4 linked regions of the Schizosaccharomyces pombe genome follow. Changing the gene in region 3 together with the main gene of any one other region gives a genetic interaction. Each region holds a gene or a part of one and is shown on either strand. Other genes may lie near its edges.

The links.
Region 1: mutations in mph1 (region 3) and fin1 together harm fitness more than expected from each alone (negative genetic interaction), as found in Schizosaccharomyces pombe (4 studies listed by BioGRID, with this or other methods).
Region 2: mutations in mph1 (region 3) and rik1 together harm fitness more than expected from each alone (negative genetic interaction), as found in Schizosaccharomyces pombe (3 studies listed by BioGRID, with this or other methods).
Region 4: mutations in mph1 (region 3) and swi6 together harm fitness more than expected from each alone (negative genetic interaction), as found in Schizosaccharomyces pombe (3 studies listed by BioGRID, with this or other methods).

The regions. Positions count from the first base shown.
Region 1 is NC_003424.3:1,352,411-1,360,312, forward strand, and holds fin1 (NIMA-like serine/threonine protein kinase Fin1), read left to right. Parts: upstream 1-1,810; 5' UTR 1,811-1,949; coding exon 1,950-2,009; intron 2,010-2,277; coding exon 2,278-2,301; intron 2,302-2,347; coding exon 2,348-4,432; 3' UTR 4,433-4,774; downstream 4,775-7,902. Other genes in the region: nucleoporin Nup40, read right to left, coding at 1-826, 1,014-1,249. UniProt on the Schizosaccharomyces pombe protein: Promotes chromosome condensation and nuclear envelope dynamics during mitosis. Activity appears at metaphase-anaphase transition.
Region 2 is NC_003421.2:1,465,223-1,474,177, reverse strand, and holds rik1 (CLRC ubiquitin ligase complex WD repeat protein Rik1), read right to left. Parts: upstream 6,297-8,955; 5' UTR 6,005-6,296; coding exon 2,882-6,004; 3' UTR 2,398-2,881; coding exon of another isoform or gene 2,365-2,397; 3' UTR 2,322-2,364; downstream 1-2,321. Other genes in the region: SPOM_SPCC11E10.09C (alpha-amylase-like protein), read left to right, coding at 852-1,811, 1,878-2,321, 2,365-2,397; translation initiation factor eIF2B alpha subunit Gcn3, read left to right, coding at 8,172-8,325, 8,383-8,522, 8,578-8,955. UniProt on the Schizosaccharomyces pombe protein: Component of the Clr4 methyltransferase complex (ClrC) which contributes to the establishment of heterochromatin by specifically methylating histone H3 to form H3K9me.
Region 3 is NC_003423.3:370,946-378,572, reverse strand, and holds mph1 (dual-specificity protein kinase Mph1), read right to left. Parts: upstream 4,780-7,627; 5' UTR 4,685-4,779; coding exon 2,648-4,684; 3' UTR 2,281-2,647; downstream 1-2,280. Other genes in the region: srx1 (sulfiredoxin), read left to right, coding at 1,737-2,111; F-box protein Pof13, read right to left, coding at 5,024-6,214. UniProt on the Schizosaccharomyces pombe protein: Involved in mitotic spindle assembly checkpoint signaling, a process that delays anaphase until chromosomes are bioriented on the spindle, and in the repair of incorrect mitotic kinetochore-spindle microtubule attachments.
Region 4 is NC_003424.3:1,699,278-1,706,057, reverse strand, and holds swi6 (heterochromatin (HP1) family chromodomain protein Swi6), read left to right. Parts: upstream 1-1,959; 5' UTR 1,960-2,056; coding exon 2,057-3,043; 3' UTR 3,044-3,652; downstream 3,653-6,780. Other genes in the region: Ino80 complex actin-like protein Arp8, read left to right, coding at 1-1,077; SPOM_SPAC824.09C (GTPase-activating protein), read left to right, coding at 4,457-4,608, 4,653-4,696, 4,766-4,844, 4,916-4,960, 5,099-5,741; Golgi nucleoside-diphosphatase Gda1, read right to left, coding at 6,350-6,780.

The sequences.
Region 1 (7,902 bases), on a different chromosome or scaffold from region 3:
AGTTTGAAGCGAAGTGTTGTCAGAAGCAGTTTTAGATTTTTCTTCCTCATCTATTGGCTCAGTTGAACCAAAACCAAATAAATAATGAAATAACCAATTACGAGGTTGATGTTTCTGAGAAGATTTAAAAATATCATTTTTGTGTTGAACAATGACTTTTTTACCAAGACCAGATTGGGATTGGAAATGGGCATCAGCATGCACGGGAATAGACATTGAGGTTTCGGAGGAAGAGGCATCCGTCATTTCCAAGTCTTTATTGCTGTTTCTTAACGTTTTCGGAACATGCTCCTTCGCTTCTGCGGGGCTGTATATACATCCAACCATAAAAGAGTCATTTATCAACATTCCGTTAGACAAAACTGCTTTGGCAGCAGAAGAAGGCTCAGCATATGTTAATTGTAGCCAGTTACCAGATATGGGACCCTTGGAGGGAGTGAATCCGGCACTTGAAGCAGTTAATGAATTCTCGCTAATAATAGTTCCAAAACGAGAAAATTCAGCTATTACTTGATTTGTCAATTCTGGTGGGAAACCGAAAACGATAACGGAGGTATTTGAATCTTGAGGAGCGCCAGACATGGTAAAAGAAGGGTCGTATACCTTTTCAGAGACAGGAGAAAAAGGGGAAGAACTTTGTCCAACATTGAGAGCATTAATTTGCCTAGAGGAAGAAAAGTCATAAATGGATTGAGTAGGAGGAGCATCTTCAATTAAAGATCCGGTACCTAAACGATTTGTATGCAAAAACGGTTTCGGTGTACCAAAGCTGGGTCCGCCGAATTTTGAAGAAGGGGGACTCGAGAGAGATAAACGGAAGGAAGAGCTATTTAGAGAAAATTAGTAAAGGTTCTAAGAGTTTATGTCTAATATTTAAAAATTCATAGGGATTAGGCTGAAGCTCTAACAAATTTGGATATAGATAGATATTAGGTAAAAAAGCAATTATACTAAACAATTTTTTAATCCTCCGTCTTCAAATGTCCCTTAAACTCTTCAAAGAAATTACTTACGATGACTCATATGGTTCTGCTAAAGGCGAGCTAACCTCTGGGGCAAATCGACGCTGCTGACTTGATCCAAAGTGTGAAAGATGACTGGGAACAAATTTTTTTTCTTGTGGAATGTTAGAAACAGATGTTCGAAATCCACGATATTCTTTTTGAGGAGAGGGCGAACGTAAATCATCGACAGAAAGTGGCTTTAAGGTTGATCGATTCGTGATAGAACCACTTCCCCCAAAAGACATGTTTCCGGCAATATTACTAGAGTCTTGTGATAGACTGTTGTGTAACATATGTTTTGCAACGTATATAAATTAGCGGTAAGTTCATTTGAAGGAGATGGCTTGCATGGAATGAATCATGAAGCCTAGCGTAGATCACTAAAACCAATTAACGCAAAATAACAGTTTATTGTTAATGCTATTGATTTTTATAAAACATGCAGATAAATCTTTTGAAAGCCTCAAACTAATATTAATACGTTTAGCTATTCATTTTTTTAAAACTTGATTTAAAGGACTCTGTTAAATTCCAAGCTCATTTACAACAAACCTTATACAATCATGTCATAAAAGGCATTATAGATGATAAAAATTCTCCACAACTTTTTCTCATTGCTTATTGAATAGCGTATCTTTTTCTTACAGAAATTAAAATGCGACTGGATATATATTATAATCGTAGCAATAAGCACCTGAAGTAACAGTGTTACTCCTAACCATGGCAACATTGTTTACACTTGATGATTTAACGAGACACTGCAGAAGAACCAAACATAAACATCTTGGCTTGAAATTCATATACTTAGCACTCAATCACTCCAAGCAGTATTTTTTATATTATTAATTGATAGAAGAATTTTTCTTTTTCTTTAAAGGTCCTACCGAGAAATTTAGTTTTATTTTAAGCTTACCTGAATCTCATGGGCTACTTCTGTTCTGAAGTATGGAAAAATACAAGATTCTTGAGTGTATTGGACATGGGAGTTTTGGAAGGATTTATAAAGTAAGTTTTAATCTTATTTTCACTGAAATTGGTTATTGGATAGCAAAATTCTTTCTTGTTTTCAGTTTATTTGCGAGCAACTACTTGTGGTTGGCAAATGAATCTATAGCATTGAATCAATTGTTTTCTTAAGAAACAGGGAAACTATATTGATTTAAATGCTTTTCGCTATTGTTTGTACTCTATTCAAAACAGTTTTTCAAATTGAAACTTTGATCGATATTTTTTTTTGCAACTCCTTTTTTATGCATTATGCTAACTATTATAGGTTCAACGCTTAAAGGATGGTGCTGTAAGTTTGAAAGCAATTTATTTTTATAGTTATTAATACTTTTTAGCTTTTGGCTCAGAAGGAAATACACTTTGGTAACATTACTCGGCAGGAAAAGCAGTACATCGCAGATGAAGTGAATATTCTTCGTAATCTTAAGCATCCAAATATTGTTCAATACTGCGGAGAAGAATTGAATCGTTCTGCGCAGGTAATAAACCTTTATATGGAATATTGTGGTCATGGTGATTTAGCCAATCTTATTCAACGTTATAAAGAAGAGAAAAAGAGATTTACCGAGCAAGAGGTTCTCAAATTTTTTACGCAATTACTACTTGCTCTGTATCGCTGCCATTATGGAGAAAATGCGCCTGCTTGTGACTCACAGTGGCCAAGAGAAATTTTTCATCCTAAACAATCTGTATTGCATCGAGATATCAAACCTGCGAATATATTTCTTGATGAAAATAATTCAGTTAAGTTAGGAGACTTTGGTTTATCCAAATTGCTGGACAATACGCGTGTCTTCACACAGAGTTACGTGGGAACTCCATACTATATGTCTCCTGAAATAATTCGGAGCAGCCCTTACAGTGCGAAGTCTGATGTTTGGGCTCTTGGCTGTGTTATTTTTGAGATCTGCATGCTTACGCATCCCTTTGAAGGAAGGTCGTATTTGGAATTGCAACGTAATATTTGCCAGGGTAATCTCTCCTGTTGGGATCATCATTACAGCGACGATGTTTTCCTTCTAATCAGGCATTGCTTAGAAGTTAATTCAGACCTCAGACCTACTACTTACCAGCTACTTCGCTCTCCTATTTTATCCGATATTCGTAGTAAATTGGAATCCGAGAGAGTAGTCTTGGAACAAAGCGATTTGCTTCATAAAAAACATCAGATGCTTATTCAATTGGAAAATGATCTCCAATTTCGCGAGCAAAGGCTTTCTGCTCGGGAAAGTGAACTCGAAAACGTTATAGCTTCTCGCTTAGCCCAACGTGAAGAGATATTGCGACGTGAGTTGGAAAAGCAACTGCGTGACATGGATGCTCGTTATCAAAGACACATGCAAACCGTAGTAAACTCTATGCAGAAAATGCGTGTTACAAGTCCTGTGGATCATAATGAACAACCTGAAAGCAGTACCGCTGAGATGTTTGTAGATTGTACAATTGAAGCATCACAATCCCCCCTACTTCATATTCCTAAGTTAGGAATTAGCAAGCCCTTGCAAACGTTATCGTGTCCGGGTTTCACTCTAACTACACAACAACCGATATTGAAAAGACCTACTCTCCGTAAAGAATTATCAAGCAGAGCCTTACATACGACTGCAACATTAATGAAATACAGAGCTAATGCGTCATCTCTAAGGACTACACCTATTGATAAAGATGGCCAAATTACATCGTTACAGCAAAAAAACGGCACGTCGAATCAAGTGGCGGATTGCATGAACAAGTTGCTGCACACATCTTTGGACGGAAAGAAGCTAAGCCCTTCTGAATTGTGTAATAAATTTTCAGACGGTGAAGGTTTACCAAATCGAAAAGTTAGCAAACTTAGCGTAGAGAGCGATGAAACGGCAGTGAGTGCTTCAAGTGGTGAATCCGTCCCGACTGATTCAACGTTGACTGATACGAAGTCAAAGTCTGTTTTTGTCCACCCACCTTCTCCGCAGAGTCTTTATGTGGAGAAACTCGAAAAGTTGAATATTCGTTCGGACGAAGTGTCGAAACCTTCGAAAGCTTCAAAAACCTTACATGGCTATGCTTTACCATCACTAGCGTCACCTTATGATGTTCATGCTGAAGAGAAGATAGCAAGAGAAAATGAAATGGATGGCAATTTTAAGACGATGAAGATCAATCAACACCCCGACGAGTATGTGTTACGGACTCCGAAAAAGATACAACTGTTGGAAGGACAAAAGCGGTCGCCTGTAAAACAGCTGGGAAGACTTGGTTACAACAAGCTTCGACGATCAGCGATGGACAATGCAGGATTGGAACTACGAAAGGCGGCATCTACTTCGAACTATACTAGCTTACAGTCTCGAACACTACCCGGGTCTTGGAGAGATGATGAAGAAGAAATTCCAAGACCCTTTCTACGAAAAATGCTTGACGCCCGAATGATGAGGGCTTAAGTAAAGTTCCCTAAGGTGCATTTAATTGTACGAGAATTATATTAGCACAAATGCGTACTAAAAAAAAAATACAGCAAAAAATAAAGGCCCAAATGTAAATGAAATTATTGAAATGCGTACCGTGTTGAACTTCCCCTAATTATAAGGATTGGTTTTCTATTTATTCAAAGAAATGAAACACTGCTGGTCAGCGTTTATCACGAAGTTTATTACTAATAAAGGAATACAAACACGATATTTGCATCTACAAGTTCTCGAATATGAGATGCTAGTAAATTGAGCCTTTTAACAGTACACATTTAGATGATTAGGAAATTTTGAATAACAATATTTTTCCCCAAATTCGAATGAGCCGTATTGTAAATGGAATTTAATTTTATAATTTTTGAAATAATATTACACAGAAACAAAAATTCATGGATGTAGTAATTAGAGAGAACCAAAGAATTAGCTAAAACTACGAAACGCCAGCCTTGACAAGAGAGACTGTTTTTTTTTTGGTGTAAGGATAAGTTGCGTAGATAATAAATGGAGATATACGTAAATTCGTATATGAGTAGATATCTGGTATCTGGAGAGATGACTTATCAAAAAGAAGCCGATTATGGAAGCGGCATCAAAAATAGTCTAGAAAGAAAACAAAGTGGAAGTAATAGAAGTAAAAAAAATTTTTACAATTTCGGGTGGCAGAAAAAAGGATATTAATGGTATACGAAGTGACACAAATAGGATTCCAAATGAGGGATGAATCAATTAACCACTTGACGGATTGATAATAGCAATGATGAAAATAGCAGAATATAGTACAAACTAGTAATTGACAAACACATATAAATACTTAGTTGTAATGTAGAAGTATGAAAGTTAGTCATTCATTGTTATTTCATTTTATTTACATACTTTGACTTAAAAGAAGTGCCGACACATGTTACTACAATCTTAACCCATTCTTATCGCATAAAATGTTTGTTTTGTTTAAATTTCTTTGTTTTTGTTTTTTATTTTTAGAGCTATCGAAAGTATCAAATTTTCTTTATGCTGCCAACTAAGGCCATTGGATATTAAAGTTCTTTCTTTTCTTTGAGAGATAAGTCAAATCACCAACTTGCAACCCCCATCTTTTTGTATTATCAACTCTCTCCCTATATCTCTTTACTCAGCACAATATTACTTTACACAAACCCTTCTCCATTCATCCTTAACTCTCTCTGATCCTTTAGAGTGGGATGAGAAGAAGCTTCGCTAGCTAAAACATATCCTATTATGTAATGGACTCATTATGATGTCTCGGTGAAGCAATATTTCCTTTTTCCACTGTATGTCAATACTTTACGTGGTATGTGATGATTATGCACCGCTATATGATATTTGTGCACTCACTTTTGTCATCCCAAGAACGCGTAATTTCCCTTATCGTAATGCATGCCATTTAACCTAATTTACCCAACATCTTCTTCAGCCTGTGTACTCTGTTACCACCTCTGCTTCGGCTGCATGCATAACCCCCACCAAGTACCTAGAACCCTCCACTACAACCGGGAAGTCTAATGGGTAGTGGTAAAGAGAGGTAGGTGATTAGGTTAAAAGGAGGTCTTTTAAGATAACAACGTGGTAATAACGCTGCTGACTCTATTTCGTAGTAGTTGTGACTTACTAAGTTTTAAGGCCAAAAACTGTCAAAACAGCAGTTGTCTTGTGGTCCGACAAAGCGGAGCAAGAAAGACGGGAAGGGAGGAATTAAGTGCCTTGGACTCCTCGGTTCAAATCAAATAAAGTAGGCACTTTTAAAAAACGGGACCGTTCCATGTAGTGGTGGAAGAAGAGAGAGAACCTTGAAAAAAAGAAAAGATAAATAACATATAATATTTGTGTACAAAATGAAAAAGATGGATTAATTTCAAAGTTAAAGTGTAAGAGAAAAAAATAAAGAAAATTTGTTATTTATCTCAACCAAAAAAAAAAAAAAAAAAAGAAAAAGAAAAAAAAAGTATTAAAGGATTCCGTCAGGTTTGCACTTGTTGGAAAGCTAAAAAATGTTTACAGATCACCGGATTTGGGCTAATTGCGTGGAATCCGTGAGTGCTGCCAAAGAGTAGCAGATGGGATGAGATGAGATGTGATGCGAATGTGAATGTGAATGTGAAAAATTGTAAGCCAAATGCTGTTTCTCACGATAAAAACTAAAGAAAAGCATACATTGAAAATTAGAAAAGATAAAACAAGAAAAACAGATTTGGTGCTTATGCGCTGGTCGGTAAAACAGTTTTCCTTGGACTGATAACAAGAGGGATGGATAAATAAACACGCTCGCTGATAACTTGTAAAAAATAATCAAAATAAGAGTAAATAAAAATGATAAAATAAAAAACAACGATAACAAGGGACGAGTGGGTGAAAGGAAATTTTATGTTTGCGTTTTCGTTGAACCAGCGCAGTACAGAAATACAGAAAGAATTGGGAAGTACAATAACAGCTGGGATGTGGGATGTGGGATTTAATGGTAGGCAGGATAGGGTAAGCAATGCTGGGACAAAGAGAAAGAGGTGAGGGGGGTGAAAAAGTTTTGTGAAAGAAAGGATTGTTTATGCTACGGTTGGAGAAGAGAGGCGAGGGGAAGTGAGGATGGCTTGGATGTAGTAAGGATAATAGGAAATTAGAAATAAAAAAAAAAAAAAATTTGGATATGATACATAAATGGTAAAAAATAAATAATAAATTAATAATCATAAATTAAAGAAAGAAAAAAAAAAGTAAAGAAAGCAACGGTGAAAGTAGTTGAGGAAACTCAAAGAAAACAAAATAAACCATAAGAAGAGGAAAAGTGTTCAATCGTAATAAGAAAAAAAGAAATCAAAATATATTTAATGAAATTATAATAGCAATAAAATAAAGATTATACTAAATTCATGAATGATAATAAATAATAAACAGAAAAATTTAAAGGGCAAAAAAGTAAATTATAAAAATTAAATTAATTATAAGGTAAAATAATTTAAAAATTTTAAAGTACAATAATAAAAATTCGAAATATTTGTTTATTCAATAAACTAATGGAGAGATTTTCCATATTCAAAGTTTTGTTTCATTACTAATTTATAAAATGATACTTTTACTTTTGATTTATTTTATAAATTTTATTTTTTGCTTTTGATTTAATGTATTAATTTTATTTTACTTTTATTTTTTCACTCTTCAAATTCTTAACCATTCGCGTCTTTTCATCGCATCGCCCATCATATTTCCTGCCCAACAACTGTATTCATCAATAATATCGCTACTTTCATCCTACATCTTTGCCTTCGCAAGTTGCGCAAGCTTGCTCGCCATTTCGAGTGCTGATGGAATCAGCGATATCGATGGAGTTAGCGATGCCATCACAGAAATTGCAATTTTACACATCACAAAGTAAAACAATTAGCAATTCTTTCAAAATATCCATCCACTCCGCTTAAAGAAATCATTTCATCTTC
Region 2 (8,955 bases), on a different chromosome or scaffold from region 3:
TCCAATGTATGAGGAAAAACATACATAACAATTAACTAGCTTGTTCAAGCTTCCATCATTACGATGGATTGGTGAATTACAGACAGCGTGAAAATGGAAAATGGAGTGCTTCCATTTTCCATTGTCTTTTAACTTAAAAAAATTTTTGAGTTTTCGTCTTCTTTTGACAATAATGCTGTATTTTGAATACATTTTTTCATTTCTGTTATTACCAAGTGAAGAAAAGCATACAGAAAATAACTAAATCAAATATAATGTCAGTTAACAAACTACAAGCGAGTTTAAGAATATTTACGCAGTATAAAACACTGTTTTTCTCTGCTTTACATGCGCATTTGCAGTAGGTTTGAAATGTCAACAAACCCAGCACATACACCTTTTCCAACTACCATCGTTACTATTTACTTAACGATGCATGCCTTATAATGTGTTAACTTGTTTTGTTTAGTACAAGTTGAATGTAAACAAAAGCCGAAAAGCGTTGAAATTAAAAAAAAAAAGCCGCAATCGTCGGAACCGAAAGGCGGAGTATTTAAGACCCTCTGTATTTCAATATTCTTACTATATTTTTGGCTCTTAATAAAAGCAGCCAAAAGACTATAACCTTTAAGTGAGAGTGTCGGTTTTAGCAAACGTCCCTTTTTGAAAAGTAAAACAAATTCTGTACGAATCTCGGATACTTTTTTAAATTTGTACTGAAAGGGAAGATTTCGAGAAGAAGACTCTTTGTTGATCAGTAAGCAAGGCTGAAGAAGCGATCCAGACGAAGGCGTAGCTGAAGGCTTGATTTAAAGCTGCATTGTAAACGAGACAGTTACCAGTGAATGTTGTTTACTTGACGAAAAGGGACTATGAATCTAATCTGCTCCATTCTGCCGAAAAAAGAACCTTCCTACCTTAAATTATGGCGAAAGCAAGTTATATACCAGGTATTAACGGACAGATTTGCTTTGGATGAGGATAATTTTTATGCAAAAGCTAGCGGAAATCTTTACCTTGGGGGTACATGGAAGGGTATTACTCGTAACCTTGATTACATTAAAAGTCTGGGATGTACGGCAATATGGATTAGCCCAATAGTTAAAAACATATCTGAGACTACGGATTGTGGTCAGGCATATCATGGGTATTGGGCACAAGATATGACTCAGTTAAACGAGAATTTTGGGACAGAAGAAGATTTGAAAGAACTAGTCAATGCAATTCATGAGAAAAATATGCTTTGCATGGTTGACATAGTTGTCAACCATATGGGTCATGCCGGAAGCAAACCCGTAAACTTCTTACTTTATCAACCATTTAACTCTGGGAAGTATTATCACAACTGGCAGTTTGTACAAAATTACGATGATCCCCATGAGACAATTACAGGTTGGTTAGGAGATTCACATGTGAACCTACCAGACATTCGAACCGAAAAGAATGAAGTTCGCAAATTTTTTCAAAATTGGGTTTCTGATCTAATTAAACGTTATCAATTTGATGGTATCAGATTGGACACAGCCAAACATGTCGAAAAATCCTTCTTCCCAACATTTATTGAAGCAGCTAATGTATTTACTACAGGAGAAGTTTTTCATGGAGATCCTAAAGTCGTCGGGGATTATCAAAAATATCTCCCTTCGACTTTAAATTTCCCTTTATTTTTTCAATTGCGGGAAACCTTTCTTGACCCCAAACATTCTATGTTTTCATTTTATGATAAGGCCGTACTTGATGTTCGACATTACTTCAAAGATGTTACCGTCTTGTGTAACTTTTTGGAAAATCATGATTTTCCTCGCTTTTTTCATGAAACCAAAGACATCGCCGTAAGTCTATTGAACAATATTTCAATTTAGTACCTGCATTTTTTATATATTTTAACATTTATTTAGCTGGCTCTTAACGCATTAACTGCACTTATTTTCATGGACGGTATTCCAATTATCTATTATGGACAAGAACAGATGTTTGACGGTGGTAGCGATCCTGACAACAGAGAAGGTCTTTGGAAAAGTAAATACAATACTTCCAATCCAATGTTTAGACATCTTTCTTCAATGATACGCACGCGTCAAAATTTGGTTGAGACCTACCCAGAGTTTACATACGTGCTATCTTTTCAACTATACATTGACGATTCAGTTTATGTATTTACTCGTCCAGGAGTCATTATAGCCATAAGCAATGAAGGCTCTACCTCGTCGTTTAAAGTTGAAATAGATTTGAAAGAACACTGGAAAGAAGTGCCTTCAAGTTTTACAGATATTCTTACTCAGAAAACCATCCCCTGTAAAGACCATAAACTGAAGATCAAATCAAAAAGTGGCTTGCCAAAGGTAAGCATTTAGTTCATGTTTTATTCTACTAACAATTTTTAAGATCCTAATTTCCTCTGACCCTAGCTTCCTATAGAGAAATTACACTAGAGTTTCTCCAGTTTAATTACACTCCAAAAATACTTGGCAACACGTGATCGCCAAATGGAGAAAGTTTTTTTTTAATTTTTTAGCTTAAAAAATTCCTTTGAGCTTTTATGCCAGTTGAAGTGCTCAGTTTCTGTCATATGAAATTTAATAGTTTCATTTTAATTATTGAAATCCAGAATATATGTCATCTCGTCTTAGATAGATGAGCGATGCAACAATTATGACAAATATCTTGAATTTCGAAGAAGATTTTACGAAAGAAATTGAGACTGATAACTTTTTAACCAAGCTTTATGTACTTGTATTTATCAGTGCCATGTTGCGACAGCTTGTGACTTATAATTATAAATCAAAAGATTTTTTTTGTATTACTCACAAATGCATAATACAGTCCTAGAACCAAACTTCCAAATTTGCAATGATCCATAAAGTGTAAGATAATAACTCAGAGCAAAAAGGCAATAATACGTTTAACATAAACTTTGTATTTCCTCAAGGAGGGCTTGAACTTTTTGGTAAGAATTGAGTGATTCCCTATGTTCTACACTTCTGCATAATCGGAAAAGTTCTGAAGATGCCCATCTTTTGACATCGATAACCAAGTCTCCATCAATAAACGGGACTGGAGAAATGAGGTCTGCTTCTATACTTTCGTAGTCCATAGATGACAAGTATGAAAATTTTAATTTTCGAATTTTTCTTGTAAGTTCCTCCAGTTCTAGCTCCTTATCTTTTAATGATACTATACTCCCAATAGCACCAATTTCCGTTGCAAAAAGCATTTTTGGCTCTAAAAACGAATTGGTATTTGTTATTGGGAAATTTTGAAATTTGCTAACTTTATCATGCAGATGGTACACACTTTCACAAATGAATCTGTCATTAAAGTTTTTTGCATCTTTGTTATAACGAAGAAGTTTTAGCAAGCCACTATTAGTTGCTATTATATAAACTGTTCCTTCATATAATGCTGCTTTCACAATGTTTTCTCCAAAAAGGTATCTGGCAACGACAATAAACTTTTGGCCATCGAAGTACATAATCGTAAAACGTCCAATACTGTCCGCTATAGCAATCTCGTTACCCTCTACGATGAGTTGTAAAACTATAGAACCTAGTGATATCCTAGAATCTATCATAAGCCTTTCCTCGGTAAGTTTAACGATTGCAACTTGTTGCCCAAATGCAACGATGTATCGATCATTATATACCCCCAGATCTATCACGGCCGCAGATAGTACCATAGACGAAACTACCTTCAAAGACTGAAGCTCCTTTTCAAACTCTAACAAAATTAATCTTCCATTTACCGGCACCAACTTATCTTGTTCTATAATGCTTGTTCCTACAAGTAAAGAACTCTCATTAATCTTCAAAACTTTCTCACAACGTTCATTTTCGGTAAAAGAAAAAACCCTGAACGAATTATCATCATAACTATCGACCAACTCCAAGTGATAATTTTCCTTGTAACTTTCGTAATCTTCATATCTATTCTCGAGTGTTCTAAGCAACAGTTTATTTTGAAAAATAATGGCTTGTAACGGAACATGCTCCAAAAGTACTTTTCTTGGGGTCAATTCTGGCAATGGATTAAGTTGAAGGAATTTCAAGCCCCCTAATGATACAGAAATGAGAAAATCCTTCCCTGAGTTATCACGAAACTGACACACATCATAACTTTGAGGCATACTAAGCGGCATATAACATAGTGCTCCATTAAACCCATATACCATGTGTGGACAGTCATTGTTGCATATGATATAGGTACCAATATTCATCGTAAATCTCCTAAACGATACAGGGGTTGTACCGAAATGTTTTGTTTCAGAGAATACCAGATTATTTTTGAAAAGTACATAAGATTTAAATTCACCACTTCCGCTAGAAACTAAAAGAAGATTTCTGTCAACACCAACTCCTTCTAAAATAATATTTCTGGGCAATGATGGAACGTTGGTTTGAAAGGCGCAGCTAATTGACGAATTATCTGAGAATGTAAGTATCATCACCTGCTTAGACCAAAATCCAACTCCTATTTGAAATTGCGCTGAAAAATCAAGGCAAGAAATTTCACTTTCAAAAACTTTTCGTGCAACTTCTGTATCTTTTTTAAATATTGCCAATGCTGTTCCATTGATAACGATTGCGGAGTATTCTTGATAGCAAGCAGCGTTCGTGATTTTTTCAATATAAACTAAACGAGAGCGCTTTGCAGAATCGTAGATACAAAGAAAAGTAGATGTGACTTGTACAAACTCACCATTCGTCCCTGAAAGCGCAATCGTCCTTTCTTTGGTTGATAGAGATGGGTCTAGCTCTAACTGGAAATCTTCTTTGATATTAAAAGCAACAGTTTCACTAGGAAACCCGAGGAAGAGCTTATGCTCTGGATATGATGGTAGGACCATAGCTCGAAGGATGCCCGAGATTTTCGTCTGCCCTAAAATATCTAATTTCAGAGCATGTTGAAAATAAATTAAAGAAGCGTTTCTTGGTGTTCCTGCGCATACAAGGAAACTTTTTTCAATGTCGTTTTTGAGTACTAGTAAATCATGAATGGGTCCTAAGTTGGGTATTGAGTCAACATCCTTCAAAGTAGACAGGTTAATAAGTTTAGATTCCGAATTTTTGCTTCCGATAAACAAGAGTCCCTCATGGATGGAATTTAGAGAAGTAATAAAGTCGAAAGGTGGGATTGGTAGTCTTTCCATAACCAAGCTCCATTTGTTTTTTCCCAAGATACTCGAATATACTCCGAAAAGATATCCATTAGTATCACAAACAATATAATGCATCTTTTGCCCTTTCAAAGGAGTCCAATGCATATAAGTAGTACAAGGACCATTGATTGTAACAAAATTACCGCGATACATGCAATGAATAAACAAACTCTCAAAAACCAGCAAACCTCTTTTTCCAAAGGGCATGATCATTGACGGTTTAACCCGCTCAAATAGTCTAATCCCCTTTCCCAAACTTTTTGAGCTTAAATCTAAAAGAAAAGCTGTTACATAACAATCTAAGCCATCGCTGTGAAGGACCACAAGAGTTGGGGTACTGGAATCATTGAGAATGCACATATCATATATGAGATGCACTGGAAAAGAAAAAGGAAATCCGCTATCTATAGAACGGCCAGTTTTCAACCGTTCTTCGGCAGAAAGGATTCTAATACATATCATGGAAATTTCGTCAATGCTTAAAAAAATAGCACGCATCCTTAAGTCGACAAGGCAGTAGCTTTTCGCGTTGCGATTCCAAGGAAATGTAACTCGATAGCGAACTGGAGGATGGTCGACGATCACTTTTTGATAATCCTCGTCCCAATAAATCGAAAAATAAGTATCATCATTGAGAACTACAAATAAATAGTCTCTATCTAATCCTGGAGGGCGATATGGGCGTATATGTTTCACCGTAGAAAATAAAGGGATAGAGGTAAAGAATTGTAAGCCATGAACCTCACTACAGAGATAAATATTAATTTTTAAGGCTTGTAATAAAACTAAGCAGTTTTCAGATGATATAAAATGACATGAAGTCGCTGTGTCTACCGCCGTTGCCCAGAAGGAATGAACACATAAAGCCATACACGATGAAATCCATAAACTGATATAATAAAAGGAATAAAGACTTTTTTTAACAAAGAAAAAAATAAAAAAAAGAAGCTTTGAGTTGGTTCAAAAGATTATGACTAGACTTATGTGATTAAAAAACAGTTGAATACAAAAATAAAGAGTGGACGGCCAAGAGCCACAAAAGCCTAGAAAAAGGAATTCAAGATAGAAAAAATATGCTACCAAGTGACAATCTCTATCAAATCCTTACCAAAAAATTTCGATTTTGAATGAAAGTGCAAGACGCCAGTTACAGGCACTCCGCAGGGAGAAGAAACGAGATATGCAGTCTCTATACATTTTGCGCAAGCGAATTTATTGTAAAAGTTGATATGCATTTTTTAATATCAGATACTACACAAAACATTTTCTGATAATCATAAAACATAAGACATTTTCAACTTGCATCTTAACTAAGCCAAATTCTACATCAATGTTATAAATTTTAGCATTAGCCATATTGGGGGAAATCGAAAGCTATTGATATTTTTATAATTGCAAAACGATTTGATAATGTAGAGAAGATATTGGAATATGTTACTCTCATCGATGAGCAGAATTAAAAGCTATGGGAGATAACGACTATTGCTATTGAAAACAAGAACTAGGCACGCAAAGAAATATATACCTTCTTTACTATAGTGCATGGTATTAGAGTTACTTAAAAGATTATTTTAACAACTTGCCGATCACGAGGTGATTCACAGATTTATAGCATAAATGAAAACCTACGGATGTCTAGCAATAAAGTTAGGATTTTACTGAAATTCGAGTCGACAACTAAAACATAATATTTTTGTAGCATCGCTTTGAATGATTGAGCATGTAAATATTTAGATATAATTGAAAGCATAGAAATTATCATAAATGATTTTCTTTAGATGCTGAAAGTAATAGCGTTTTTTCTATACCAGTTTAGTGTTCGCGTCATCCATAAATACCGAAGTAAAATCAAGCTTAATATAAGCGAGATTTACGAAGGTTGGACTAAAGATTAGTTTCTCGTAGAAATGGTCATGAACTTTTGAAAGGTCTCTTAAACATAAAATAGTTTTTTAAAAAACTTTCTATATTACTTTTTACCAAATCCAATTACTGCTTTCATCAGTACTCCTTTTTTTTTAAAATGGAAGCGTTTTGACATATTTCGTTCATGATACGCTCAACTATTAGGAACATAGTAAATTATACTACAAATTCACTATCTATACAATGATAAGTATCGTTGAACGTTACATATTGGAAATCAACAGTCAAGCATTGTTTACTGATCACCGAGGAAGAATTTCATGATTATCCTCAGATGTACTCAGTCAAGAATATGATATTAAAATTATTCTCAATATTTAGCTTTAATTAAATATAAGCTATTTAATAAACCAATTTATATGTAAATACCATTCAAATCACCTACATAAATATCTATAGGAACATATCTGTAGATCAGTATCCAAAACGCCGTATAATGTCAGCTACGCAGTTTGGTATCTGCTTTAACGATACGAAAAACTGGTGAATTTTGCATATGATCCATTATATTATAATAGCCGGGTTATATAAGTAATGACTAAGTACTGGTATTGTACTATTTAGGTTATAATGTCACCTATCACTTATAACTGAACTGCGAAATGAGGTTTAGTTGTATCTCTATCGATTCTATCCAAATAATCTATCTGTTAATATAGTATTATCAATATCAATCTCGACATCGCATCATCTACGTTGCGTATCACTATATGTCACATGTTCTAATTATATATCGTACCATGTATGATACGATATTGAGATTGATCTTAATGATAATCTATTAAGATCTATATTATCTGAATAATATAAATAGAGCTACTGCTGAACCTCGTTCCTCAGTTCAGTTATGAGCTATATTAGTGATAGGTAACATTATAACTCAGTTAATACAATACCTATACTCAGTTGCTACTTATACAACCTGTGTATTGTAATATAATAGATCACAAGGAAAACTCACCGCAGTTCTACGTATCCTTAAATCAGATACCAAATTGCGTAGCTTACAATTTAATACAAAAAGGCATTGCCCGTTATTTGATTTTGTTGGATATCCTTAAAGTATGGAAAAGATGTTGCTACTAAGCAAGAGCGTCTAGCATCTGCGAATATGGTGGAATCGGATTCTTCGGGAATCGTTCGACATTCTCAAGGAGAATTTGACATCGTCCAGGTTTACAAAAAATTTTTGCAAGATGATCCAGAAATCACGATGCCTGTAGCCGCCATTGAGGCTTTAGTCCAGCTTTTGTCGCGCTCTCAAGGTATGTTAATTTGTAGTACTCATGTGAGAAATGAATTTACTGATGTTTTTCTATTAGCCAAGACAATTTCAGAATTTATGGACATTTTACAAAATGGCTCAAATACGCTGAAGGAAGGCGTTCAAAACAACATTTCGCTTTCAGCTGGTTGTGACATTTTCCAACGGTTTGTCACTCGATCACTACACGATGTCGGGGTATGTGTTGATGCAAAGTAGTTTTCTTTTCTTTACTAATTCTCCACGGCTTTAGGATTTTGAGCAATGCAAACGTCACTTGGTAGAAAATGGAAAACTCTTTATTCAGCGTGCTCGTGCTTGTCGACAAAGAATTGCACATTTAGGTTACCCTCTTATTCGAGATGGTAGTGTTATTCTTACCCATGGGTTTTCACGCGGTGTTGCGGCTGTTCTTTTGGCTGCTGCCAAGCGTCACGTTCGTTTCAAAGTTTTTGTCACAGAATCAAGACCTAGCGGCTCAGGCTGTCTAATGACGAGAACATTAAAAAATGCTTGTATTCCTACTTGCATGGTTTTGGATTCCGCTGTAAGCTTTACTATGAACCGTGTAGATTTGGTCTTGGTTGGCGCAGAAGGTGTTGTCGAAAACGGAGGACTCATTAATCAAATC
Region 3 (7,627 bases):
ATTAGATTTCCAGGCAAAAAAACACTTCAATTTTCTCCCTGATATAATGTTTGAAGAAGGAAACAATGCAGGATGAAATTGAAAAATATTTAGCAATTTCAACAATAAATACTATCACTTGAGGAATTCACAAGTAATACTTCAAAAAGCTAAAGAATTCTAAAACTTGGAATTAATGAAGTGGTGAGTGGTGGTTGAGAACAGGTCGCGAATATTGGAAAACACCATGATGTCGTGCTAACTTGATCCTAAATCGCAATTCTATTTTATGGCAGTAAAGATGATTCAAATCGAATGCAAGTTTTAATATTGAAAGTTTATCGAAGTTAATCTCACATCAGGCTAATAGGAAGCTATGTTGCTAAAAACATATTGTAAGTAAATGATAGTATCTGTTCATAAAAGGTTTGATGTTTTGCGGGAATTGAGCGATGGCATTATAAAAAAATGAGGATTAATGGCTTTAGAGATTGACTAATGGGAAGGATAAAGGATACCAAGGATATGAGAGAACGGATGGATGATTAGTATTTATTATGAAATTCGCGTTTTCATTGTAGATGAGAAGTCCGATTGAAGTATTGACCTTACTTCTCTAAAGCATGTACATATGAAAGGATCATTGTGATCTGTTTGCTCAAAAAACTTTAAGAATTGTATTAAAACCTTGCTACTCTTTAAAAGTTTTTATGTGTACCATAGTTCTTGTAATTGTCTCAACAATTGTAAAAAAAAGAACAGCCTTTCATTTGTCGCTCAGTCCTTCTTTAAATTGAAATGTTATTCCTTACATTACCTAACATTTTTAAAGTGTTAAAATAATCTAATATTCAATTTGCTACATTGCCTTCAAATCTTATGATATAAAACGTTGGCCAAGAATCAATTTGGCCTCAGCAAATATAGCAGCCGAACTTATACAAACAAAATAATATACTATGGTTTCTTAATCCTGACTTAAGGATGGATTTTCTTAAAATTTAAGGATTTCAGATGCAATCTTTAAAATTCCACTTTTGTTGACGACTAACGGTTCAAGCCTACATTCTACCAATGAATTTCTTCTTAACCAAAATTTGCACTCTTCAACTAGCTAATGCTTCTTTCACCATTCGAAAACAATACTCATATTGTTTTAATGATCTTGTGTCGGTTATCTCTGTCACATTTTAGAAAGCGTTTTCAGAAAGTGAACCTTTTGTTTACACATTTTTGAATGTACTCGTGCATTTACAGTTCTCCGTCGACTCCAAGTTATTTATACCTAAGTATTTGTGCTTGAAATTCTATTTAGGTAGCATCATTCTACACTTTGACATCTTTGCAATAGTGTTTTATTGCCATCTACATTTAATGAATAAGCTACTCCAACTACCTTACTAAGAACACAAACCCAGACCTCGTAACGTAACCACGTTGCTTTGTCCTAGTCGGTTTAACGTGTTTCGCTAACATGCTGACAAATTTTTACATAAGATTTTAAGTATCGATTCATCTTTGATAATGATGTCATATTTGTAAATTATTATATACATACCGGGATAAGATAGGTTGTGGGGCAGATCATTAGTACAACAGGAAACGATATCAGATCAAGGAGTAAATATACTCGATATCAATATCCACTTTTCCATTCTTATTAACTTGCCTTTTTTTATAATTTTCTGTTCTATTTATAAAAATTTCTGTTCACTTTATCTTTTTTATATTCTTTCTTTCATTCATTTTTAACCATCATGACTTCGATTCACACTGGCTCAAATAACAACATTGTTGAGCTTGATATGTCTGAGTTAATTCGTCCTATACCTCCTGTTTTAGATATGAACAAAGTCAATAGTATGATGGAAACCATGACAGGGAAAACTCCTCCAGCTTCATGCGGTTTGACTTCAGAAGATTTGGAAGCTGGTGAGCTTCCTCCTGTTGATGTTTTAACGTTTAAAAAGAGTGGGAAGCCTTATTATTTTGCCTTTGGGGGCTGTCATCGACTACGTGCTCACGATGAAGCAGGGCGCAAAAAGGTTCGCTGCAAATTGGTAAATTGCTCCCCTAACACTCTACGCCTGTATCTGGGTGCTTCTGCCAATAAATTTTTGGATAGTGATTAGATTTAACTTAGATTTTTTCACAAGTTTTTTTAGGATTATCGATATTCCATTGAACCTGTTTTATTCCCTTCCTGCACCAACATTTATGGCGTTAATAATCATCTCTACCGGCGGTACATTATTTTTAAAGGTTTTTGTTTTACATTAGTTATGGGGTTTTTTTTTAATGTCTAATATAACCCAATTATATTAAAAAAGTTTCTTATAAAAAAGCATCATTCATTTGGTTGCTTTACCTAAAAAAAACAAACACAAAAAGGTATTATATCGTAAACAAACAACTTATAGCGTTTGGGAGTATAGCGTTCTTTATATTTACATAGTATCAAAGTATAGATATCAGGGGCCATATAATATGTGGTTCATTAATCAAGGTCATAATTACCTTCTTTTAAAAGAGCGAAAAATTAAAGATTAAAAAAAAAAAGCCTTTAAGCTCCCTAAAAAAGTCGTTAACATTAAGAAACTCGTATGATGTTTGGGAAACTTTGTAAAAGATAAAACCTTTTTAAGAATAATCGGAAAATTTAGTGCCTCTATTCTGGCATTTTTCGTAAATTGCTAACGCAATCATAAGCCATGCTATCAATAAGTTCCTTATTTAATCGCTTGTGCTTACTCAACTCCACCGACCTTTCTATAATCATTGATAATTGAGAAGCTGAGATTTCTGTGCTGAGTCTAAGTGGATGAGCATTATTGGTGTGCCCAGAAACAGGTAACGGCTTTTTGGCCAAAGGTGTCAAATAGGATGGCAAAGGGTTTAAAAAGGGATGAACCAGCAATTCCGGTATTGTAAGTCTCTTCCGTTGATCCCTTTCCAGGCATCTTTTCATAACATCCATTAGATCAGGCCCGACAGTTACACCTGGCAACGATCCCTCTTTCTCCTGGACAGCATTAGCAGGTAAGGCAACTTCGGGGAAATGAATGTGATATTGTTCATTAGGGATAGCTGCTATAGCTTGGATCATTTTTAGATGAGCAAACGGGGCCCTCCCATACACCATCTGATATAATATACATCCCAAACTCCACACGTCGCTGGGCCTGCCCAACTTTACGAGTTTCACGCCAGAGTTTGTGTGAGCATTCATGTCTGTCAAAGCTTCAGGTGCCATATAATTAATAGTACCGATGTGGGAATCACGATGGATATTAGTGGTGTCATTACCAATTGCTTTGGCAATGCCAAAATCAATCAGCTTCAAATTCCCTTCTACAAGCAGGAAATTGGCCGGCTTCAAATCCGAATGCACTATATTTTGATCATGAACTACCTGGACCGCCTCTAGCATTTGCTCCCAATACATTCTGATGAAATTAAGATTAATGGGTTTCTTCATGTTTTTCATTAAAAGGTTTGCTAAATCCGTTTCTCCGCATTCCATCACCATATTGAGTTGCCCTAAAGTATCATTAACTTCGGCAGCATATAATTTAATTATGCGATCATTGCCTGAAAGCTTTCTTAATAATGCAATTTCGTTCTTGTATCCTTGTATAGTAGTTTGGTCTGCATTAATAAAGTTCACCTCTTTCAAAGCGTATAAACGACTGTTATCGGGGGAAAATATGCGATATACCATACTACTTCCACCCTTTCCAACAACTCCTAATTTGATAAATTGTAGATTGGCAACAGTAACAACGTCCTGCTGACGCTTGGGTATGGGAGTAGCTTGACTGTTATCAAATAACGGAGCCACCTTTGGAGAAAGAGCATGAGATTCATATGGTTGAGAAGCAGAACGCTGAGGCTCTTGGAAAACGGTGACTGGACGAGAATGAAGTTCACTAGCTCTTCTTTCAACATCGTGATCAAACTGCACCCTAGGAGAAAAAGAGCTCTCAAACTGAGAAGGATGAAAAGAAGGTTTGGGATGCTCCTGGGATGTTTGCAAAGGAGTGTTATGCAGCTGCAGAGGTTTTAAAGTTGTTGCAGCAACAGAGTTGGAAGCTGGTGATACTTCTCGAGATTTCATTTCAATATCCTCATCTGCTTCTGTAGAGTTTTTGGTATCGGAAGTCTTCGAGGGATCCGTCAACGTGTACTCAGCACGCTTTGGAGGGCCTAATCCAATTCTGCCGATTCTTCGTCGTCTTGAAATTGATAAAGAACCGGGGGTTTTGTTTACACTTTTAGGTAACAAATCATGCTCCGAATTAGAATTGAGATCATTCACTCCTGCACTGAGTGAAACTTCACTGTGAGACGCATTAGTAGAGGGCAAGGGTGTTATTAAATGCTCGAAATGGTGCATTGACTGATATGCTGGAGTATTCACTTCCTTCAAAGCAGAATTTTGTCCTCCATTTCCTTGCAAATCAAAATTTTTAGTACGAGGATGTGAGACCAATCTCTCTAAAGCAGTTGCACCGCTTGACTGCCTACGCAACGTATCCCCAGTAACGGTGCCATCAGAATGGCTACTCTTGGAAGAGAAAGTGTCATTTTTGAAGTATAATTCTGGATCCTGAAGCTCTTCGAGAAAAGAAAGCGAGTCTTCATCTAAGGAAGAATCTGACACCAAGTCCGCGATATTAGTCACAGGAGGATTGCGCTTAGACATAAACACAGTTACTAAAAAACGAGCATTCCAAACCGAATTTCCAACTGTTTGTTAAGCGTTAATCAATAAATTTTTACTTCGTTATAAGAATAGCTAGAAAAGACGAACAGCAGAGCAACCATTAGTGTGCACATTTCAAAATGTTATGTTACTACAAAGATCACCCTCTAACGCAATGCTAGCTACTTCAGTGTATATCATTATTTTACGAGTTTCGCATGGTTATGAAAACGAAAATTCTGAGTAAGAATGGCATAAGATCATTATTAGACTAGTCATGAAAGAAAAAGAAGAGTTGTGAAAGTAAAAAGTTTTTTCACCTAGGTCGCCTTGCCCTTACTATATCTGTGATTGAGGCCATTTCCATCCAGCCGCTAACAGCTTCCTGCGAATCTTTTTGTGGTGAATATGGTTCTGCTCTTGGAATTGGAACAAAAGACTTCTAGGACTGATCTGATGCCATTGGGCGGCCTTGATCTTATGGAAACAAGAGTCTTCTCTTTCAGGATAAACAACACCTAAAGTAGATATTACACGGTGTTGACGAGCAAATGCTTGTATTTGCAAATCAAAATCCAACGATATGCAGGAAGGACAGACAAATGAATCGCAAACCAAACAACTTCTTAAATCTATGCAATAACGACAAATCGGCTTCTTCCATTCCCTTAAGCAATAGATACAAGCAGGGACTTTTTGCAAAGAAAAAAGATCGGCAAGCTCAGTTTCCTGACCTGCAATTTTGCATGCATTCAAAGGGCAACGTGAAATATCGCATTCGACTGGGTTACCATGAGTAGTTGGTAAAGCGTCTAAAGCATTTTGAAATAAAATTACTCGACTATGCCAATTGCTTGTTAATGTGTCATCCTCAGAGCCATCAAGCAAAACAGGTTTTAGTAATTCTAATCCTTTAACACCAAGGACGTATAGATTTTCCAATGAAAATGTCCTGCTTTTAGAATTTTGTAGAAACTCAATGAGAGATAGAGAGCAAACACCAACACACCATCTTATACTCAAGGTTTTAACGGTAGGAATGTTCAGCAAGATATTCGTTACACTAGAAATGGTAACACCTGTTCCGTCTAAAGCAATGGTCTGAAGTCCCTGGAATTTGGCAAGCATTGACCAGACAAATGAATCGCGAAGTTGGAGTTTTAAAATTGGTGGGTTTCCGTAGAGATCAACTTCAGTAGCCCATTCTAAATCACTGGCAACAGGAACTGTACGTTGATAAGGTTGTAAATTAAGAAAATTGTTATTAAAACAGCATTCATCGACAGCTGATTTACGAAGCCAATAGTAAAACTGCCTACTTGAATGCATCAGGCGTAATATATCGAATGCATCAAGATAATTAATGATCAAGGACCATATGTCTCTGTTCAAGAGAAATAAATTGGAATTTTTTAACACAGGTTGAATTGGATCTTCCTCATGATTCCGGTTTGACAAAGAAAGGGTTGTGAGAGCTTCAGCTGTAAAATCCACTTCGCACTGATTACTCGACCAATGTGTCGGCCTCATAAAGTCCCGAAATACTTTATAAATTGTTATTTACACAATTTCTTTTAAGATAATGCAATTTTCGTAGCTTGTTTGCGATTCAGCAACTCTTTTGCTAACGATTTTTTCAAAAGAGAACAATTTATGCCGAGGAATGTTAAGAAACGTAAAGAATGTGTTTTTTTAGATTCAAAGATTCCGTTTTCTTGGTTGGAGATAATCTTATTCGGGAAAAATCAATAATGAACCTCGTGATAATTATAATTGACAAATACTTTTTGTTTTCAAGTGTTGACGTTAATGAGCTCCTGTTGATATATATAAAACAAGAAATTCTCTAATATAGTCCCAAAAAAAATCCCAAAATCATAGAATTGGGGAAGTGGTTTATTTTTTCAACGAAATGGAGTAGGTTAGGGTGTTTTAGGAAAAGAGGATTGCTAACAACATCTTCATTCTCTAGAATTATTCCCAAACTCAACTGTTATATTGATTAAAATAAATTCTTTTAAAGACAAGAATGCGTTTTGCTTTGACTTGCTGATTGCTGTAGCTATTCACACTTAAAGGCGCATTGGGTTTCTTGACATTGGAGAGCTTCTGAATTAAACAGAAAGAATAGTTTAGTTTTTTTTACTACAAAAAAAAGCTTAAGGGACTATACAGGCACATGAGATTGAACAGACAAAGTTGTTGTATCGCTAAATATTCAGACGACTGACACTGCTGATTCGTGCAATATGTTCGTTCGAAAGAGATTCATTTCTCAAAATGTTTTGACAGTTCTTCTATATTGCTTGATGACCTTAGTGCTATTAGTTTATTGGCAAAGAGTCTGTGAAGTATAATTGCAAAGACTCAAACCGAACTAATCTTTGCAATTTGAGTATCCCGTAGCGTTAGCTTTTCATTTTAGTCAACTCTTTATCTCGGAATGTCATTCTCGAATCTTTGAGCCTGATAGTCGAACCGTATTGAAGACTTATAAAATGACTGTTCGCTTGGAATATGAATATGTAAAGAATATTCTCCAACATGAGTGGAGTAATATTTCCTATAAAAAAATTAATGAGAGTGCCCTTTTATCTCTAAATTGGGGTTGGTTATGCCTGTAAACATCTACTGGTTATGATCCTGAATTATTTTTAAAGTTAGGGAAGCCTAAGTGCTCGGAGCAGAATTTTTAAAGATTCCAAGTTTATTATTCTTTTTTATTCCTCAATTCTTAACATTTTCGTCAACTAAGAATTTGTTTATCCAGATAAATGTTGACCTTGATTAAGCAAATTATAAAGAGCAAATACAGAATACTAAAAGGATATAATAAACGTTTGTTTAACAAATTTACATTTATATACATGTTAGATATCATTGATTAGTTTTAATAGATTTTTTAAATTCCCTTACAATCTTCCTTATTCCTTAGACTGTGCT
Region 4 (6,780 bases), on a different chromosome or scaffold from region 3:
TTAGACATTTTATTTTTTGATTTGCATTTTGGAAAGGCTGCCATAGTCCAAGAATCGCTGTGCACTTCATTTGGTGCTGGAATGTCTGCTGCTTGTGTTGTCGATATGGGCGCTCAGAAAACATCCATCAGTTGTGTAGAAGAAGGGGTTGTCGTTCCCAACTCAAGGATAAAAATAAACTATGGAGGAGATGACATTACGCTTTTATTCATGAAATTACTCATGAGAAGTCATTTCCCGTATCAGGATATTGACTTAAAAACTCCGTATGATTGGTCTTTAGCCAATGCTTTAAAAATAAAATATTGTGGCCTAAGTGAAGCAACCTATAATGTTCAATTGAATAGCTTCTTTTCGCGAACACCTGATAAAGGGACTAGAAAATTTACATTTAAAAGCCTTGACGAAACAATGCTTGCACCTCTTGGATTCTTTCGCCCTGACATTTTTGAAAATGAAAATAAACTTCATGATCGGTATACTTTGTTTCCAGTGCCGGTCGATGTATATGACAACCAACCGAATAATCCCGAATCACTTGCCCAAACCACTTTATTGCAAATATCTACGCCGATATCCAACATCAAAGCTAATGGAAAAGATGATGAAGAGAAAAAAGAAGAAAGTGATTTGGTGACACCTTCGGTAAAATTCAAGCCTCCACGGGTAGTATATTGTGGCTCACTTGCTGCTCCAGAAATAAAGAATGAGAAACTGATATATCCTTTGGATGATGCAATCAACCAGAGTATATTTAGTGCATGTGATGGAAATTTAAGTGATGAGAAGGCAAAAAATCTTTACTCAAGCATTTTGATCGTCGGTGGAGCTGGTCAGTTCCCGGGCTTTGCTCATTTACTGGAAGAGCGTATCCATTCCAAGCGTGCCAACATCCCTACTATTTCGGTAATTCCTCCACCAAGAAGTATGGATGCTCAATTTGTTGCCTGGAAGGGTGCTTGTATATACAATCGCATTCGGATCGTATCGGAGCTGTGGATAAAAAACAGCGATTGGAAAATGTTAGGTAGCCGTGTCTTGCAATACAAGACATTGGGTTATTTTTGGACTGGCTAAACCATATGTTTATGCTTTCATATTCGTTACTAATTTTTTAATGCAACACCATATGTTTTTGCTATTTTTCATTATTTTTAGATGTTAATAAACCATGGTCTACAAAAACAGTACAGATGCCTCTAAGTTCATGTTTTTTGAAATTTTGAAGATACTTCATCAACTACTCATTCTTTTTGATATTTGAGTGCTCAAATAAGTTGAATTTATCATAATTTCCCTAAGTACGTATTTCTTTAAACGTACCATTTTGTATTTAAGTAATCTTTACATTCCAAAAATTGTAGTATCATTGTAAAAAAATTGAAAAAATAAACTCCCAAGGCGAGACTCGAACTCGCAACCTTCTGATTACCATCATAAGAGTCAGACGCTCTAAACCGATTGAGCCACTCGGGACTTCGTTGACGACTTAAGTTATTCAGTGTAATATGTAGTGCAAAAAGAATCCTCATAAGAATATATATTTTGTTGTTTGACGATGATTGCCTACGAAATTTAAAAGGTGGAATTGTTTTCTAGTTAAGATTGTTTATCAATCTTGAGAGACTCAGCATTGCTTTAGAAAACAAATCAGCATGCCAACCGTAACAGCCAAATATCTTGTTACTCGCAGCATTACTTAAAATGTTAATTTTATTTCTAACGGTAATATTTGTTCAATATTTTCGTATTTCGCATTAAGTAAATCACTAGGAAATTGAGATGCTTTTGAAATAATGATTATTACTGATAGTGATCTAAGCAAAATTAGGCGTCGTTAATCAACTTTTAGACAACGATTAATACAGTACTTCTATGCAATATTTTAATAAACGAACTCTATGTGATGCTAGCCATTCTGTACACCATGAAAAGCAAGCCAAACATGTCTCGCTAAACGAGCAAACAACCTGTAAAGACCAACGCGAAATTGATGTTTAGTACTTTTTAAAATATTCTGAAATCTCGTTTATTTTCATATTAAGACAAGTGAAAAATGAAGAAAGGAGGTGTTCGATCTTATCGGCGCTCCTCTACTTCAAAACGATCAGTTATTGACGACGATTCGGAACCAGAGTTACCAAGCATGACAAAGGAGGCTATTGCTTCTCATAAAGCAGACTCTGGGTCGTCGGACAATGAAGTTGAAAGCGATCATGAAAGTAAATCTTCGTCGAAGAAATTGAAAGAAAATGCCAAAGAAGAAGAAGGAGGAGAAGAAGAAGAAGAGGATGAATATGTTGTAGAAAAGGTTTTAAAACACCGTATGGCGAGAAAAGGTGGAGGCTATGAATACCTTTTGAAATGGGAAGGTTATGACGATCCCAGTGATAATACATGGAGTTCAGAAGCCGATTGTAGCGGTTGCAAACAGTTGATAGAAGCATATTGGAATGAACATGGAGGAAGACCAGAACCTTCTAAAAGAAAGAGGACTGCAAGACCTAAAAAGCCCGAAGCAAAGGAGCCTTCACCAAAGTCTCGTAAAACTGATGAAGATAAACACGACAAAGATTCCAATGAAAAGATTGAAGATGTGAATGAGAAAACTATTAAATTCGCCGATAAATCGCAAGAGGAATTTAATGAGAACGGCCCACCTTCTGGTCAGCCGAATGGTCACATTGAATCTGACAATGAGTCTAAATCTCCTTCACAAAAAGAATCGAATGAAAGTGAGGATATTCAAATAGCAGAGACCCCTAGCAATGTTACTCCGAAAAAGAAGCCTAGTCCGGAAGTTCCCAAACTTCCGGACAACAGAGAGCTGACGGTTAAACAAGTAGAAAACTATGATTCTTGGGAAGACTTGGTATCTAGCATCGATACAATTGAACGAAAAGATGATGGAACCTTGGAAATTTATCTGACTTGGAAGAACGGTGCAATATCTCATCATCCTAGTACTATCACCAATAAAAAATGTCCTCAGAAGATGCTTCAATTTTATGAAAGCCACTTAACGTTCCGTGAAAATGAATAATTTTTTTGTGTTCCTTTAAAAAATTCTTTTTCTTTTGTTTATAAATTAGATTTCGCTTTTTTCTGACGTTATTGCTTTTATCAAGTCCCGTGTCGTAGTATGAGTTCTTGTTCTCTTACTCGAAAAATGCATCTAACATTATACTTATACAAATTTTTGTTAGGCGCTTAACATCACATTCTAGTTTATGAACGCCTTTGTTTTCTTTCACATTGAATTGATTACGAGTGACTTGAGAAATGTAAAATACCTTTTGTCGTTATGGTTTGACATTCTAAATAACCTAAGGTTTGACATTCTAGATAACCTAATTTCTTTAATTTTACCATTTATTAATTTAGCATGCACTGCTCTTCATGCATTCAAAATCGTGTCTAATAATAACGTAATTTTACTCGTTAAATAAAGAATTTATGCATGCAAAATCGTTACTCATAAACCTCAGCAGATAAATTTGTTAACAAAAATGAGGGTGCATGAATATCTGCCTTCTCCGTTTCTTCTGTTCCATATGCTTCTAAGTTTGGGTTACCAACTGAACTCAAAGATAGGGTCAAGATGTAGTGTATCAAGTTTGAATCTTTATCAAGTACTATGTTGCCTCTTGAGAAATTCGTTTGAGAATAGCTGTATAGCTAAAGATAAATAAGGGTTTGAATGTAATTGTTGCTATGTAAACACAGTTGTAATTATAGATTTTTAATTGTTGCTGCTTTTGTACATTAGCAAAAAAAAATACAAGCAAGTTATGATGAAGAAGTCTGGTTATGCTATTTTTCTAAGAAGCTGGGATAAATTCATATTTTGTTCCTCTTTTTTTTTTTTTTTAAATATGTTTATGTCAGATTGGCAGATTTACCATATAAACACATAATGGCAAATTATGGCAAACTTTGCAAATGAACATGTATTTATCGAATTTCCTTGTTATCTTTTTTTATTGCTAGCAACACATGAAGACATCAGTCCCCTCTCGGCAATACATATTATCGATTGACACTACTGTATGCTGAGACTGAACAACAGAGTTCTCACTTGGACTTTTTGCTTGCTCCTCAAAGACTTTTAAAAAATTAAATAATAACTATTATATTTCTAACTGTTTTTAATCTAATTATTAGTCACAAGTTGCGCTTTTGTTATATATATGACTTCTATTCAAATTGTGTATACCTCTTTGAACTGCAACGTACTGTGGCTAATTATAATAATATTTAATGCTAAATGTTTTTAACGATGTTGATTGATAAAAAACCGCGTAATCATCAGAAAAGGAAGGATGCTTTTCTTTGCTATTCAAAACAAAGGGACGTAATTGTGCACTGTAACATTGCAATACGGTAGATTGTTCATTGACCCAAAATCACTAGACTTAACCAGTTTTATAATTTGCCTAGTAATCCTTGAAGTGTAATGATAAATTCAAAAAGCAAAAAGAAGGAATCAAATGCCCTCGTTTTAAAGTCGCTTTTGCGGGAACCTTACAACAAAGTTTGCGCGGATTGTAAGCGCAATGAACAACCACGATGGGCAAGTTGGAACTTGGGTGTTTTCATTTGTATCAGGTAAGTAATAGCTGCTTAAAATTGAAATCATTAACACTTGTTAGATGCTCAGGAGTGCATCGAAGTCTTGGAGTTCATGTTAGTCGTGGTATGATTACCTAGGATACAAAATTTAATGTTAAAAAACTCAGAATCAGAAATTAACAGACAAAACTAGTAAAATCTGTTGATTTGGATTCATGGACAGATGAACAAACTGAAAATATGACAAGATGGGGAAATGAACGTGCTAATTTGTAAGTTTGTCTACTTTTCAAAAAAACTTTGCGCTCACGTCCTAAAATATAAAAACTAACAACTTTAATAGGTATTGGGAAGCCAAACTTGCGGGTGGTCACGTTCCCTCTGATAGGTAGGTTTTTATTGATAATCCTTAGCATAGCTGGCATTGAATGTTATCTTTCTAGGCTACATACCCTTTACACGTTGCTAGCAAATTGGAAGCTTCTTTTTTGTTTTTTTTACTGCATATTTTCTGACCTAGATTTAGTAAAATTGCGACTTTTATAAAGACGAAATACGAATTTAAAAAATGGGTACTCTACCCTGAAATTCCTTCTCCGGAAACGCTAAAACCGGAACAGAATACCAGACCTGTTTCAGAAGTCAACGCCTCTTTAGATCTTAATACTGCTTCTCGATCTTCCAGTGCTCACTCAGTTAAAAGCACTTCTTCTGCTACAGTTACCAACGTTACTTCCAAGAAAGAAGCTATATCAGCTACCACTTCTTTAGCCCAGTCGTCTCCTAATTTAGCTTCTTTATCCAAGCAACCTTCTACTGTGCATGCTCCTTCGACTAGACAACGAGATTTAAAGTCTTCAATTCTCTCCTTATATGCATCTCCACGACCACAAGTAAGTTCTTCAAGCATAACCACCAATGCAACATACCAAAATCTACCGTCCCCAGTTTCAACTAGTACTACGTCTAGCCAACCTTATGGTGCTTTTCATCAACCGGCTACGACAGGATCCTCCTTTGTGGCAGATAAGTGGAAGATGCCTATGTTCACTTCTAATGTGACCAGTGCACAACCATCTGCTAGAGCATCACCCGTTCAATCCAATTCTTCTCGGCCGCGATCTTCTTTAGACAGTAAGATTATTAATTCTCATGATGTTTGGAAATAGCCTTTAGTGACGCTTATACAAATTAACAGAGGTTTTTACTACTTATTTTGAAATATTTCATTAATTTAGCTATTTAAGTTCATCAATCGATGTCGGCATTTATGGATTCCTATATTCAACCTTCATTATAATACATTTTCTACTTTTCAGTAAATATAAATGACATAAATGTATTTATTAGGTCTATTATCGCTGAAAGTTTATTAAGTATTAAAAGCTAGCACACATTGTATGTATTCCGTAAAAAGATGCCTACGATATTTGGGAAAATTGCCTTGATCAATTTCAACTTTCCCAGAAATTTGAAAGATTTGATTTACATGAAACAAACCAGTGGAATAAAGAATGTCCCTCAATCTATTAATGTTAGTTGTACAACAAATGTTAGATTTGCTATACGCCCGTAAAGAAGTTAACACTGAAAGGAGCGGAGTAGCGAATTTTGAGACATGGAAATAATATGGACGAATGTAGAAAAGAAAAAAGAAAAAAGAAAAAACAAGAAAAAAAACAGGATCAACTATATTAACCCTTGACCTCCTGAGGTTTTAAGCAAACAAGTTTACATATGCTTGTTGTTCATTCAACATAATAAAAGAAGGTAAAAACTAAATTTCTTCTTTCACGTTACAATTCCAACCATTGTTTTGCTCTGACAACATAGACAAACTAGCTCCCAAACACCATCCAAGTTCCTTGTTGTCAATTTTCTTAGCAGTATGGAGCTGTCGGTTATTGGGGATTTCATACCCAACCGAAAGTAAAGAAATCATATAATTCAAATCTAAACACCACTCTGGCTCTTCTTTCAACTCTTTAAGGGCGTCAGTTAAAGAAAAGGCGTCCTGCCAGTATGTTGGTCCACTACAAACACTATTTGCCAAATATTTCATATCTTCAATGGTAAAAGTGCTTGGCATGCCTAAACTGATCATACGATCGTAAAAATAACTGATTAAATAAATGGGAGAATCAGTAAACGTCTCAGTGAACTTGGGTTGATGAACACCATTGAAAGAACAAGGACGGACTGGGCAAT